Lonchura striata: one gene and its partner. The protein of the gene in region 1 purifies or fractionates together with the protein of each later gene. This does not show direct contact. Links are inferred from orthologs where the notes say so. Each region holds a gene or a part of one and is shown on either strand. Other genes may lie near its edges.

What was found. The genes of interacting proteins can lie anywhere in the genome.
Region 2: the proteins of AFG2B (region 1) and TIMM13 purify together in Homo sapiens (co-immunoprecipitation; 3 studies listed by BioGRID and IntAct, with this or other methods). This does not show direct contact. The link is inferred for Lonchura striata from reciprocal best matches to the Homo sapiens genes AFG2B and TIMM13.

The regions. Positions count from the first base shown.
Region 1 is NC_134613.1:14,383,855-14,390,872, forward strand, and holds the start of AFG2B (ATPase family gene 2 protein homolog B), read left to right. Parts: upstream 1-3,926; 5' UTR 3,927-4,051; coding exon 4,052-5,134; intron 5,135-6,157; coding exon 6,158-6,343; intron 6,344-6,954; coding exon 6,955-7,018. UniProt on the Homo sapiens protein: ATP-dependent chaperone part of the 55LCC heterohexameric ATPase complex which is chromatin-associated and promotes replisome proteostasis to maintain replication fork progression and genome stability.
Region 2 is NC_134630.1:1,496,215-1,502,519, reverse strand, and holds TIMM13 (mitochondrial import inner membrane translocase subunit Tim13), read right to left. Parts: upstream 1,290-6,305; 5' UTR 1,228-1,289; coding exon 1,102-1,227; intron 951-1,101; coding exon 882-950; intron 807-881; coding exon 708-806; 3' UTR 573-707; downstream 1-572. UniProt on the Homo sapiens protein: Mitochondrial intermembrane chaperone that participates in the import and insertion of some multi-pass transmembrane proteins into the mitochondrial inner membrane.

The DNA.
Region 1 (7,018 bases):
TCCTGTTAAATTATCTGCAGTTGTCCATTCTCCCTTCTTTGAAAAGCTTTCACCCCAAAGTTTCAAGCGAAGGGAAGGTGCAGTTGGGACTCCAGTCACTCCCAAAGAAATGTAGAGCCTGAGCATAAAACCCTTTCCTTGGCAACTTAAGACAAGTGAGCTTCTTAAGCTGGCAGGCTCCAGGTGCAGGCACACATTTTTCCATACATCTGCCATGATGGCAATGACTTCTGGTAGAGATGCAGCATCAATGGTATCCACCTAAGGTACAGGGATTTCTCTGAAACGTCTGTCAGCAGGCAGAGATTTTCCACACTGTAAGGCCTGAGCCTAACCCATCCCCTGGACCCTGCCAATCCAAAATTCCTAACTGCAATGGAACTTTTTCCATGTAAAGATACAAGACTGGATGATCACTAGAAAATTAAGTAAACACATTGAGGGTGGCCCTCCCAGAAAGACATGCAGACATACAAAAGGTCTTTCCATTCCATTTTTAAGCATGTCTTTACTATTTATTTATGAGCTTTTGTTATAACAAAGCCTAGTGTTTGAAATGTGCAATATCTGGCCTAAGTGTAATAGAGCATTTATACTCAAAGAACCTCCACAAATACTAAAATCTTGCCCTAAAGCATACACATGCCAGCTACTCACTTTGAACTATCCTTATTTGATTAATAAACAATCAGACCACATCTTCAAATCCATCTACCTTGAAACAAGACTATGTTAAAAACAGTTAACTTGTCAATTTAAAATGAAGATTTTCATTAGAGTAATAGATAGTGTAAAACCTACTTAAAAAAATAATCAGTTTAATATTTTATTGACTTTGTATGCAGGGAATTATTGTAACAAGACGATTATTTTATTTCTTGAGTTACAATAATTGGGAATTTTGAACATTAGTCCACCAAAACCCACTACACATAAAAAAAAAAGAATAATGAAATATTGTTCTTTCTTTTTAGAACCTTTGATAATTGTATGTTCTCCTTTAAAAGAAGTTAGTCTGGCACAGTAAATATGAAAGGGGGAAAAAAAGAGTAACATGCTTCCCTAGAAATAGAGAGCAACAAGCCCAACAAAAAAAAGCAATGAAGCTGAAAATTATCTGAACATTCACAGTGCTGGTTTTTCAGCTTCATATTAGAAATGGAGTTAAGACAATGCTGGATAATATTTGATTTCTCCAAGAACTGATGACTACTCCCTCCAAATTATCAGATCTCAAAAGAGAAATACAGCCATTCTTGAAGATCAGCTGCCATCTAGTGAACAGTGAGAATACTGTTTAAAACATTACTTTCAGTTTTTTGCCAATTTAAACAAGATTCTTGGAGGAATATTGTTTGCCACTTCATCTCTGTAAATTTTGGGGTCTGTAAATTATTCAGAAGCATGGCTACTAAAAAGTATGCATTTGACATAAGAGTAATGTCACTCAGCTAAGTTTTCTACGAAAATATATCAATAACATACATGTGATTCCACAATTTGTTAAAAATAAGCCAATCCTCTGGCCTTTCAATAGGACATATTAGTTTTTTGGGGGCTTCACTATACTAAAAAGAACTGAACTATCAGTGTCTTAAAGTAAAATAATCAGTATTACAGCAATAAAATACAGAAAAACTTTAAAGAAGTTTAAGTAAAAATTTACTTAAATGCAGTCATCAAACAATAATAGCAGAGTTTTTATATTGAATACTAACTTTTGTTACTTTGTTACTTAAGGTTAGATTTGCAGGTGTTTTCCTTCTCATAAGAAATCAGATTTTCCAGATGTTACAATAAGTCTGTTAGAGGGAACCACTATATATGAAAATAAACCACAGAGCTCATTGCAAATATTCAATTTCCCATACTTTCCTTTCCTAAACACAACTTTCTAAAACCAAGCAGAGGATGTACCACTTACAGTTTGAAACTCTGAAACACAAATCTGCCATTTTACACAGAGTATGCTTTGAGTACATACTTGAGGGCACTCATGTTTATGAAAACCTTTGCTGGAAAGAAATAAAACAAGAGAATATGTTTATAAGACATTGGCTTGAAAATACACTTGCCGTCTTGGAATGAAAGTTCCTTATAATCTTTTGTCTGTACATTCTCTGGTATGTCCTCCAACAAATACCTGCTAAGTCTACATATTCCATATGAGCATATTCCATATAAACATTTGCATATGTATGCAGTAAATAACCTTGCTATGAAAAGAAAGATTAAGTAGATATTCAGAAGTAGAGGAATATAAAATAAATACTGAAATTAGAAAATTTGGTAATGAATTGAAAGGAAAGCTATTTACAGGCCCCTTTGCACATAATTAGGCTTAAGGAGAAGGCTTGCTGTTTTTCACACTATGCAGCCCTACAAAATTTTGTGAGTTACTATTCAGCATTTAGAACTATTGTGAACTGGTTCTCTTAACACTGCCTGCTTTTATTCACATGACTTACTGAAATACTTTGTGTACAGCCTTGGTTCAGTATGCAATGTGATTAAACCACAAAGGTTTTCTTACACTGTCCTTCCTGAGGCCTTCAGAATACAATGCAGGACAGATTGTAGTTATGCTGTAAACCACCTTCTCTGGGTTTTCTGTGAATTTGACTGTGTCTGACTAGCACTGAGCATTTGACATCCCAATTTTTGTATGTCTGTGGTCTCAAAGTCTGTGTGTATTCAGCACGTGTGACTTTATTTAAAATGAAGCTACTTTCAAGAATAAAACTATGCACATACTAAATTTTATCTTGTAGCCTACAACACTGGCAGACCTCCTGGAAAGTTTTTTATAAAAGCACCACACAATTCATGGCATAATCTAAGAAGGTGGTGGACCAAAACTTTCCTTAAATGCTAAGTATTTGTCAGAGCAGCACACTAGAACAGGTTTACCAAATGTTGAATGAGTGTCTTAATTACTTGTATCAGCAGCTTCTCAAGCCAATCGTGTGGCTCCCCACATCTTTTAACCAGCACCCACAGCTGAGTGACGGTGACTGGTGACCACGGAGCAGAGGGAAGCACTGGCAGGGGCACAGGAATGGGGAAGCCACACATTTGGGAAGATGTTTCAGAAGCACCAACCAAACGGGCAGTGCTGAGGGCTCAAAAAGAGGGCAAAGAAATGAGGGTGGCAAACAAGTCCTGTTGTGACCAGCTCTGTGGATAACAAGCCAGATGACAATTAGAAAAGGGGGGGTAGGGGGGGCCAATGTATTTCATCTGTGGAATGAGGGTATAAGAGATCTCCAGGACACAGCACTCACCTCACAGGCATTGCTTTGACAGCCCTTCCAAAGGAAGGCCCAGGGCAGTGGCTGAGGCAGGGCATGAGGGAGGTGGCAGACATCGAGTACTGTGGCCAGTTTTGGGCCACTCAGTTGAGGAAGGCCATTGAGGGACTGGAACAGGTCCACAGAATGGCAACAAAGATGTTGAAAGGCCTGGATCACAAATCCTATCAGGAATGGCTGAGGGAGCAGGAAAAAGAGGCTCAGGCAGGACCTCATTGCTCTCCACAACTCCCTGAAAGAAGGCTGTAGCCAGGTGGGGCTTGGCCTCTTCTCCCAGACAGGACAAAAGGCCACAGTCTCAAGCTGCACCAGCGGAGGTTTAAGTTGAACATTAGGAAAAAATCCTTCACAGGAAGGGCGACTGGATATCGAATGAACTGCCCAGGGATCACTGTCCCTGGCTGTGTTTAAGGACAGACTGGACGTGGCACTGTGAGACACGGTGATGCTGGCACACAGGCTGTACTCGATGACCTCGGAGCCCCACTCCCACCGAACTCCTCCCGCGACCCGCGCGGGCCGAGGCGGGGCGCAGTGCGCGTGCTCCGCTGTGGCGCATGCGCGGGGCCGCCTGTCAGCGCGCGAGCGGCCGGGCTGCGCTCCGGCCCGGGGGTCCCGTCCCGCCCGCCGCCGGGCGCTGGCGGAGCGGGAGCCCCGCGGGAAGGCGAGGCGCGGTGAGTAAGGGGCCGACGGGCCCGCGCAGAGCAGAGGGGTTGCTGCCCTCACTCGCGGAGGCAGCGATGGAGGCGGCAGTCTTAAAGCTGCTCCCGCCCGACCCAGGAGATGAGGGCACGCAGCGGTGCCGCTTGGGACCTGCCGCGCTCTCCTTCCTGGGAGCCAGGATCGGCGCCCCGCTGAGGATCTCCTTGCCCGGCGGCTGCTGCCTGTGCACGGCGTGGCCCCGGCACGACCTAGCGGACGGGTACCTGCAGGCCGACCTCAGCTGCAGCAGCGCGGGGCTGAGGGCGCGGCGGCTGCGCGGCCTCTCGCTGAGCGCGGGCCGGCTGCGGCTGCTGCCGCACCGACAGCTGCGGGCGGCGGCCGTGAGAGTGGTCCTCAAGAGCGCCGCGCTGAAAAAGTCGACTCCCAGAGCGGTGTTGCAGGAGACCATCAGAGAACTGCTAAGAAACGTGTACGTTGCGCCTCGTTATGTTGTTACTGTTGCCCCGAGTCCCGAAAATCCCGCGGTGTATATTGAAATACTGTCTGCGTCTCCTTTGGTGGAGGAGGAGGGAGCTGGATTGATAACTCCCCAAACAAGCATAAAAATTAAGGAGGTGATCACTTTAGAATGGTACAGACATCTGTCCGAAGACACTGCAAAAACTCCAATTGCAGGACTGGATGATGTAGCGAAGTCTTTGAAAGAAATTATTGATCTGCCTTTCCGCTTTCCAAAAACTTTCAAGAAGCTGGGTCTTTCTGTCCCTAATGGAGTGCTGTTAATTGGGCCCCCAGGTGTGGGGAAAACTCTAATGGTAAAGGCAGTAGCCAAAGAGCTGGGTGCATATCTGTTTGGTATCAGTGGCCCGGCCCTCCATGGTTCAAGACCAGGAGAAGGTGAAGAGAATTTGCGAAGAGTCTTTGAAAAGGGCAGAGAGATGTCAAACGAGGGCCCAACCATTCTCTTTTTTGATGAGATTGATTCATTATGCCCAAAGCGAGGAAATTCAAACAATGCTCCTGAAGATCGTATTGTTGCTCAGTTGCTGACGCTGCTGGATGGTGTAGGGAGTGAGGGTAAGATGGTCATTGTGGCAGCAACAAACCGGCCTGATGCCATAGACCCTGCACTGAGAAGACCTGGCAGATTTGACAGAGAGGTAAATAAACCCTGTTATTCATACATTCACATTTTTCTTTCTTCATTGAGGTGGAAGGGGGCTATTAATAGGTTTTTTTTAATGTCTTCTAGTCATTTCATAGTGGGATTCTACAGGTTTGACACAGGTGTCTTGTTTCTGTCTTTAGTTTGCTGCAACTTGGGTATGGTTGTTTTGGTGTTTTTTACTCAGATCACTGAGAGCTCCATGTACATGGAAATGGATGGGAGGAATCCTTTTACTTCTTTATCATAAAGACATTGACCTGATCTTCAGGGGCTTTGTTTGCTTACAGATGCTTAGCTTTACAGGATTGGATTTTTTCCATATAAATCCTAGATTGCAGATTTGTGCATTTCTCCTTAAACATTTATTGTTATAGAGAACTAGTAACCTGCTGTGTCAAAACTTCTATTCAGGTTTCAGTAACAGAGGTTGGGTCTACTTTGGAAAACTTCCTTTAGCCTTTTAGTCCAAAGAAGAAGAACACATGCAGTTATACAATACACAATGCTTGTGCTTGTATTGTTTCTTTTCCTGGATAAACCCACTCTAGATCACCAGTTCAATCAAGTTCTTTAATGATTATAAATTTCATTATTTTCTGGGCTTTATAATAATTAATTATTAATTATTATTTCATTATTATCTGAGATGTATTTTTATTATGATGTTTTACCAGGTTTTCAATAATGTATGAATGTTTATCTATTTTATTTTTTCCTAACATATTAGTCTAATTTAGTGCTTGTGATGTAAGGAAATTATTATTATTTCAATGTCTTATCAACAAATCTTCATGCAAACACTGTTCACTTGGAAAGTAAATGGTATTTTAAATACTTGTCATTTGTATAGAGCTGGCAATAGCTTTCCTGTAAAACTCTTTTGTTGGGATATAAGTATATATAAATTTTTAGTAGCCAATATAAAGCAGAGACAAAGTTGCTTGCTTAGGTGTGTAAAATAAATGAGAATGGCAAATTATCTACTTAAAATTTTTGTTTATTGTGTTTGGTTTAGGTTATTATCGGGACCCCAACAGTTACACAGAGAGGATGCATCCTGCAGTTGCTTACATCGGACATGCCCATTTCTGCAGAGGTTGATTTGGCTAAGCTGGCAGAAATGACCACTGGGTATGTTGGAGCTGACCTTACAGCACTCTGCAGAGAAGCTGCCATGCAGGCTGTGTCCCACAGCTCTTTGGTATGGTTGCAGATCAGTCAAGAACAATGTCAGTAATATTTGTACTACCCTTTCCTCATTAATACTTGAAAAGCTCAACATGTTGAAGACTCACACCAATCATATTATAAATATGTTATTTTTGCTCCTTTCAGTTTTCTCCTTAGTCCTGTTACTGCATCTGTGCTTTAATAGTGGCATTTTATAACCTGTTTCAGATAAAATGTGTTACATTCTTCAGTGTGTGGTGAAAATGGATTTTGCAACTTTTTTCTTTCTATTTGTAAGATTGTGGGATGTGATGTATGTTAACCCTGAAAACAACTATTTGATTTAGCAGATCACTGCCTAATGGAGCTATAGTTTAGGGACTAGTAGTTTTCTCTGAAACATTAATTTCTGTTATTTTTTTTTATTAAAACTTGTTATTTCTGATAAACTTTTTTTGTAAAAACTTGTTATTTACTTTATGTTGCGCTTTTGTTTGTGCAGTGTTTAAGCTCATTAGGTCAGGTATTGACTTCCTTATTAGTTGTATTTAGCGCTATGTGATGTGGTTTGCATATTAATGAAGCATTTAAGTATTGCATTAAAATGGTGTTAATATGCTCTATCTGGGCTTACTTTTTCAGGATTCAACTGAAACTGAAACCATGATCAACATGGGAGATTTCCAAGAAGCTTTTAAAAAAATTC
Region 2 (6,305 bases), on another chromosome or scaffold:
AAAAAATTATGCTCAGGATATAGGTTCCAAGAGGGAATACCTGTGCCAGAGCCAAACCAGAAACTAGAGTGTATCACAGCCACACAACACACTGTATTCTATAAAGAAAAGAAGTACTTCCCAACCAGTCCTTCTCAACCCTGCATCCCTAGCTGTGCTCATACAACCATTTGCAAGGCTGTCCTGCTCCCCAACACTGTGCCTGAGCTGAGTCAAAGCCTGTGACCCCAAAGACAGCCCCACAAAATGCTATACAGATCTAAGCAATGAAAGATCCAAGGTGGCATGTGGACAATCTTCTGGCAGTTTTTCCACTATGAAAAGGGACTAACAACCTTATGGATGGGTCCATGCTGGAATCCCAAGCAAGGGTACTGTGTTGCTGACTTGGCTTGGTCCCTATTTTCCACAGAAGGCTCGTTGCCTGTCACAGCCCTTTCAGTAGGGACTTACCAATTGATATAATGCCTTGGGCCAGTCTGGACACTTAGGAAGGACAAGAAGTAAACCTAGCAGCTCATGGAAAAAAAAATTACTCTCTCCTGGAGCTGGTGCTAATAAAAGCCAATAGATGCAAAAGGTTCAGCGAGGTTTTATTGCTCTGCCATGGCAGGGGCTGGGAAGGCAGCAGGATTCACCCCTAAGCACCTGGACTGGCCGCTGTCCCTTCCCCACATGGTCCCTCTCGGCCCGGAGGCCGGCAGGCGTCACATGTTGGCTCTCTCCCGCTGCAGCCGAGAATTGTAGGCTCGCGAAACTGTGTTCCAGGAGTCCATGTACCGGTCCATGCACATGGCGATGCACTTCTGCGGGACACAGAGCCTCAGCGGCAGCCCCGAGCGAAGGGGCCGCGGGTGCCCAGCTCTCCCGCCCGCCCTCACCTGCTCGGAGTTGTCCAGGGCGCCGCCGGGCTTCCCGATGCACTTCCGAAAGCACTTGTCCGTCATCCGCTGCGGAGAGAGCCCATGAGTGGCAGCGCGGTCCGGGGGCTCCGACTGCAGCCGCCGCCCCCGTTACGAGGGGAGCGGGGCGGCCTGGCCGTCCCCCGCGACCTGCGCCGGGACCGAGCCAGCCCCCGCCCGGCCCCGCGCCCCTTCTGACCTGCAGGAGCTCCTGCGCGTTGGCCACGGCGATCTGCACCTTCACCTGCTCCATGATGAGCACCGGGTCTAGCTTGCCCCCGCCGCCTCCTCCGGAGCCGAAGTCGGAGCCGAAGCCGCTCTCCATGCCCAGAGTCAGCGCGGCCGAGGCCCTGCGCCGCCGCAGGGAGAAATGGCGGCGCCCGGCCTGCGGCTCCCGGCGGGCCCAGCGCCGCCTCCGCCCCCGCCGGGGCGGGGCCGAGCGCTCCGCCCGCCCCGCGGCCGGGGGCGCCCGTGCCGCTGCCGGCCGCGGCCCCGAGCGAGCTCCCGAGGGGTTCAGGCAGCAGGGCTCGAGTACCAGGGCTCAGCGCAGCCCCACGAACTGAGGGCAACGGGAAGGGGCTTTAAACTGGCATCACCAGAGACACAAACGCCGCACAGCTGCACCCGGTGGTGAAACAGCAGCTCTGCTGAGATCCCCGCAGAGAGAAACTTGCCGTATGGGTTCTCCTGGAATTCATCCTTCTGTTCTTCGAGGCTTTCTTCTGCCTTAGGTGACTCGGGTGAGAGGCCCATGCCCTTAAAGTCAGCTTCATTACACTTCCTTCCATTAAGTAAGAATGCTGTGGGTCGAAGTAGAAACGAATGCGAGAGGACCACGCTAGGGAGCTCTTTTTCATGGGTGAGATGTGATGTGCAGGTAGGAGATGGCATGAGAGGAGGGCACTGAGTACCACAGCAAAGCTGAAGCCAAAACTGTGCTCATCGTCAGTAGCCCGAGCCCACACTCAGAGTATTGTAAACCATATCATCCTGTCTTTGGATCTGCCCACTTCAAACAGAAGGCATTCCTACCACTCCACAAGAAACATCATCTGCTACTGCTAATAATAGGGCAGCCACCTAAGGTACAAATTTAAAATGAAACGCGTTTAAGGTACAAGTTTAAAATGAATTTAAAATTTGCCAGCCTGGCTCAGCTTCCAGCCCACTTTTGAGTCTGTACTCAAAAATGGGCTGGAGGCTGAGCCAGGCAGACAAATGCATCAGCTGGTGGCAATACTTCTGTCCATCCCTGCCAGGGATCCGTTTCTACTCTCATTCTTATTTAGCGTCAAGTAGGTTAAATCAAAAAACCCCTTCAGTGCAGCGGCAATGAGAAAGCAAGTGAAGGTTTATCTGCTCCGGCCCCAGATTGCTGAGGAATTTTTGCAGGACAATGGACACATTCAGCAGATTCACAATCCAGCCTTCTGGTAACAAAGCAACCAGTTCAAGGACCAAGGAGAGTGAATTCCTGAAGAGAGAAGAGTCTGCAAGAATCACCAAGTTGTCAGCAAAGTTCGAGAAAGTGAAAAAAAGGACTAAGGGTGGGCTAGACGACCACAGCAATATGTGTGTAGAATTGTGTGATCCAAACAGCATTTAGTCTGAGATGCATGGACAGGAATGGTCAATCATGTATTAGCTAGAGGGACATTAGAATATATTATAAATATAGATTTCTGTATAATAAAGTTGGCTTCACTTGATCACATTGATCATGGCGTGATGTCCTGTTTCTGATCCTCCACACCGCACCAGATATTCTTCCCCCTGCTTTTGTTGGTACTGATCAGAGAGGACAGCAGGTTCCACCAGGCTCCATCACATTTAAGGAAAGCATTTGTTTGTTTCTGGAACACACCCCACGATCCCTGCTGGAACACAATTCAGCTGATCAGTTAGGAGCACAGACAGCAGCTCTTTATGTCCTCTCTCCACACTGAAAGGCCTCCTTTGATGAATCATCTCAAATAGCCCATGTTACCTGTGTGTTGGCTAGTAGACAGAAGAAAACCAATAAAATGCAAAACATTTATTCGAGTATGTTGTACAAAAAGTTTCCAGTCATAAAATGTATATTACAAATCATTGAAAAAGACAAGACATTTGGCATGCATAGTCTAAAAAGAAAAAAACAAACCACTTTGAAATTATAAAGTCTAGGTCATGATGTAGTTTTTCTAAGTTTCAAGTGAACACTTTCATTGTTTTGTCTTTATGTTTCTGTTAACAGCCTTTTTCATAGCTCCCTGATTTAAAAAACATGAACCTTCCAAAAACCCATCTGCAGCAGCTGACTGGAGGTGGTTACTGCAGCACCCTCAAGCCAGACCTGTTTAAATCAAAATTTTGTAAAAAAAAATTAAACATAAAAATCACAATTCAAGTCACAAGGCATCACTCTATGAAAATAAGAGATCAACTGTATTTTGTGCCCAAATGGAAAGCATTTTGGCTTAAACTTGCTCAAGAGATTATTGCATGTAATTTTAGTGTAACAATCTGGGTAGCTGAATATATAGTAACATCTGCCTTACCAAGATGGACTTGTCACTTCAGTAATAGCTAACTAGAAAATCTGGAAGTTCAATAAACAACATCTTTTCTGGAACTCCAAGTCAATTCACTGTGCTATTCTTAATGGAGGCTTTTGCATCATTTTCACTCTAGACCTTAGCATTTCAAGAAAAGCATTACGTTTACAAATAATAATTGCATATAAATATGGTCTTGTATAAAAAAAAACCCAACAAACACCTTTAAATAATTTTAAACTGGTTTAAAGCTAAGCATATTGAAAGGCAAATAAAAATTCTGTTTCCCAGGCCAATATAATGAGAAAACAATCTATCCAGTATAATTTGTCCCGACATTCAGCTAAAACAGTGCTTTGAAAAATGCAATCACTATGTCACCTTCCGCTCACTGGTTCACAAGGCTCTGCTCACACAGAGTTTGGACCCAACAGTGTCAATAAAATGCAGGATCAAATATAGATATGTCTTTGTTTAGAGATAAGACTTTCAAAAGAAGATACAGAAAGAAGAGACACAGTGGTTTAACAGTGAAGACATGAGAGGTGGCTACAAGAGACCTAGAACATACAGCGTGCATACTTTCCTGCAGCATCAAAACCTTTCTGATGTGCATAAAGGTAACAGATTCTCCAAGGTCCTGGGGTGTAAAGAGGATTTTTACAGGTCTCTTCTAACCTGCAACCTCTGTTAAGGTTGCAGTTAAAGGGCCTTTATATAGAATGAGCATTAAAAAGTCCTGAGACTTTTGATTCCTGCTATAAACAAAGACTATGCAGCCAACTGCCCATCTAATGGTAACACAGAGCTGAAGATAAGTGAGCAACATGTCAGTGCAAATGATGGGTTCTGTCAGAGCCAAGCTGGAGCCTCATGTAGACATAAAGAGACCTGCTTGGAAATAGAGCTGTGAAGCAACAAAGGGAACAGGAAATACACCTGTGGCAGCAAAGAAATCACAGGAAATACGGATGTGTAGGAACAAGGGAATCCCAGCCACTCCACTCCTTGGAGTATGTCACTGCAATGCAACAGTTAAAGGAACAAATGCAGAAGTGAGGGAGAAGAAAATGGCATGAAATGCCAGGGACTCTGAGGCCACACCTCACTCCAGAAGGCACCACGTTCCTGACAGGTCTGCAGATGGATGGACTTGTTCTGAGACAAGCATTTTCATGTGGCATGAACTTAGGAGGAGGCAGGATGTGCTTATTGTATTTTATATGGTATTCTGTTACGAGCTACACATAGGAAAAACTATTTACTATTTCATTCACAATAAGGTTATATTTCTGGAATAAGAAAATCCATATGGGTAGTTATGCTCAAGTAACTACTTGATAAGAGCTTCATTTCCCTCATCAGAGACACCTTAAAATACTTTTTCTCCGGGCAAGTCAAATCTATTTCTCCTTCAAGCTTTATGCCGAGTACCAGCACTGAAGTAGAACTGCTGTCCACATTCTAATTTTATCAAGACTTTTATCAAGAGAAAAAGGGGGCAAGGAGACTGGATTTTATTTGAACAAAAAAATTTAAATATCCTGAAAATAGAGAGAAATCTTGGAAAGACAGAAAAAAATAATAAACTATGTTTTTTGGGTATTTAAAGCAACAAAACTGCCTCCCAGTATGGCTGGAACAGCGCTGTTAGACTGAAGCTCAGCATCAAAAGCAAAAGGCCAGGATGGTGTCTGGAGAAGGCAACACAAAAAACAAAGTACATGGAATACAGTAGTTCTTCTGTATCTTGTAATTTACAGCCAGGAGTTATTTATCATATTTGTAGTAGCCTATTAAAAAGCACTGTGGTAACAGAATCATCCACATTCAGACTTGGCTTTTCCCACAGTGTTCACAGGTTTATTTGACCTGTATGCACCTAAGCATGGTCCCAAAGAATCAAATAAACCGTTTCCAAAGTTAAAGGCCACAGTTCCAATTCTAAAGACAAATTCTGCAGACTGTTACTCAAGGGCACAGTGCTCATTACACGAGATCTGCAAGCACCAGTTCTTCAGGCTACAAAAAGAGACACTCCTCATACAGTAGCTGTTAGGAAAACTATGGCTCAGGTAGCAAGAGGTTTTTCTTCATTTGAGCTGCCTTTCTGAAGCCATTCTTTACAGGAAACAAACAAACCAAAAACCACAGAAAAAAAAGTAAATTAACTACATATTCATTACTTTAGTATTTAAGATCACAAAATAATCTTAAATTTACAGGACAATCTTAAAGGAATAAGCAGTCTAAAAACTGGCCAATGTAAAAAATACAGATCTTTAGGGAAAAAGCAAAAAAGCCCTCAAACACTATGTCAGTATATTATAGAAGCTGTGGGTCAGAAAAGGGAAATTGTGTCCAGTGGCTGGAAGGTGTGTTGCAAAAATAACTTTACACTGATTGCATTCATTTGCATAACAATGAATTTAGAAAAGGTAATTTTAACAGTATGTCTGAGAAACATAATTTCACTAGATACATCTTACAGAGAGAGAGACATGATTTACTACATATTTAACCTTCTACACAAGCAGAGTGGAAAAATTACAATAGAAAGATGGCCAAGTACATTAATGCAGTTATCCCATCAGCCCAAACAGCCGAATCTTTATCTCATTTTTTTGTAATGGGTCTTCTGATAATGGATTAAAACATAATTCTAAATGTCTACTAGCTTAACTTCAGCAACTCAGTTATCCCACTCAAGGAGAGAAAAGTAGTATCTTTATTTTTAAATGACAAAATAAATCCTGAAGCTTAAAGCCCCTTTTGTTCCCACTCTGCTTGCATAACAAAGCCATCAATCCAAGCCACTAAACCAACTTTCTAGGTTATATCTGTCAGTCACAATACTGTTCAGAGA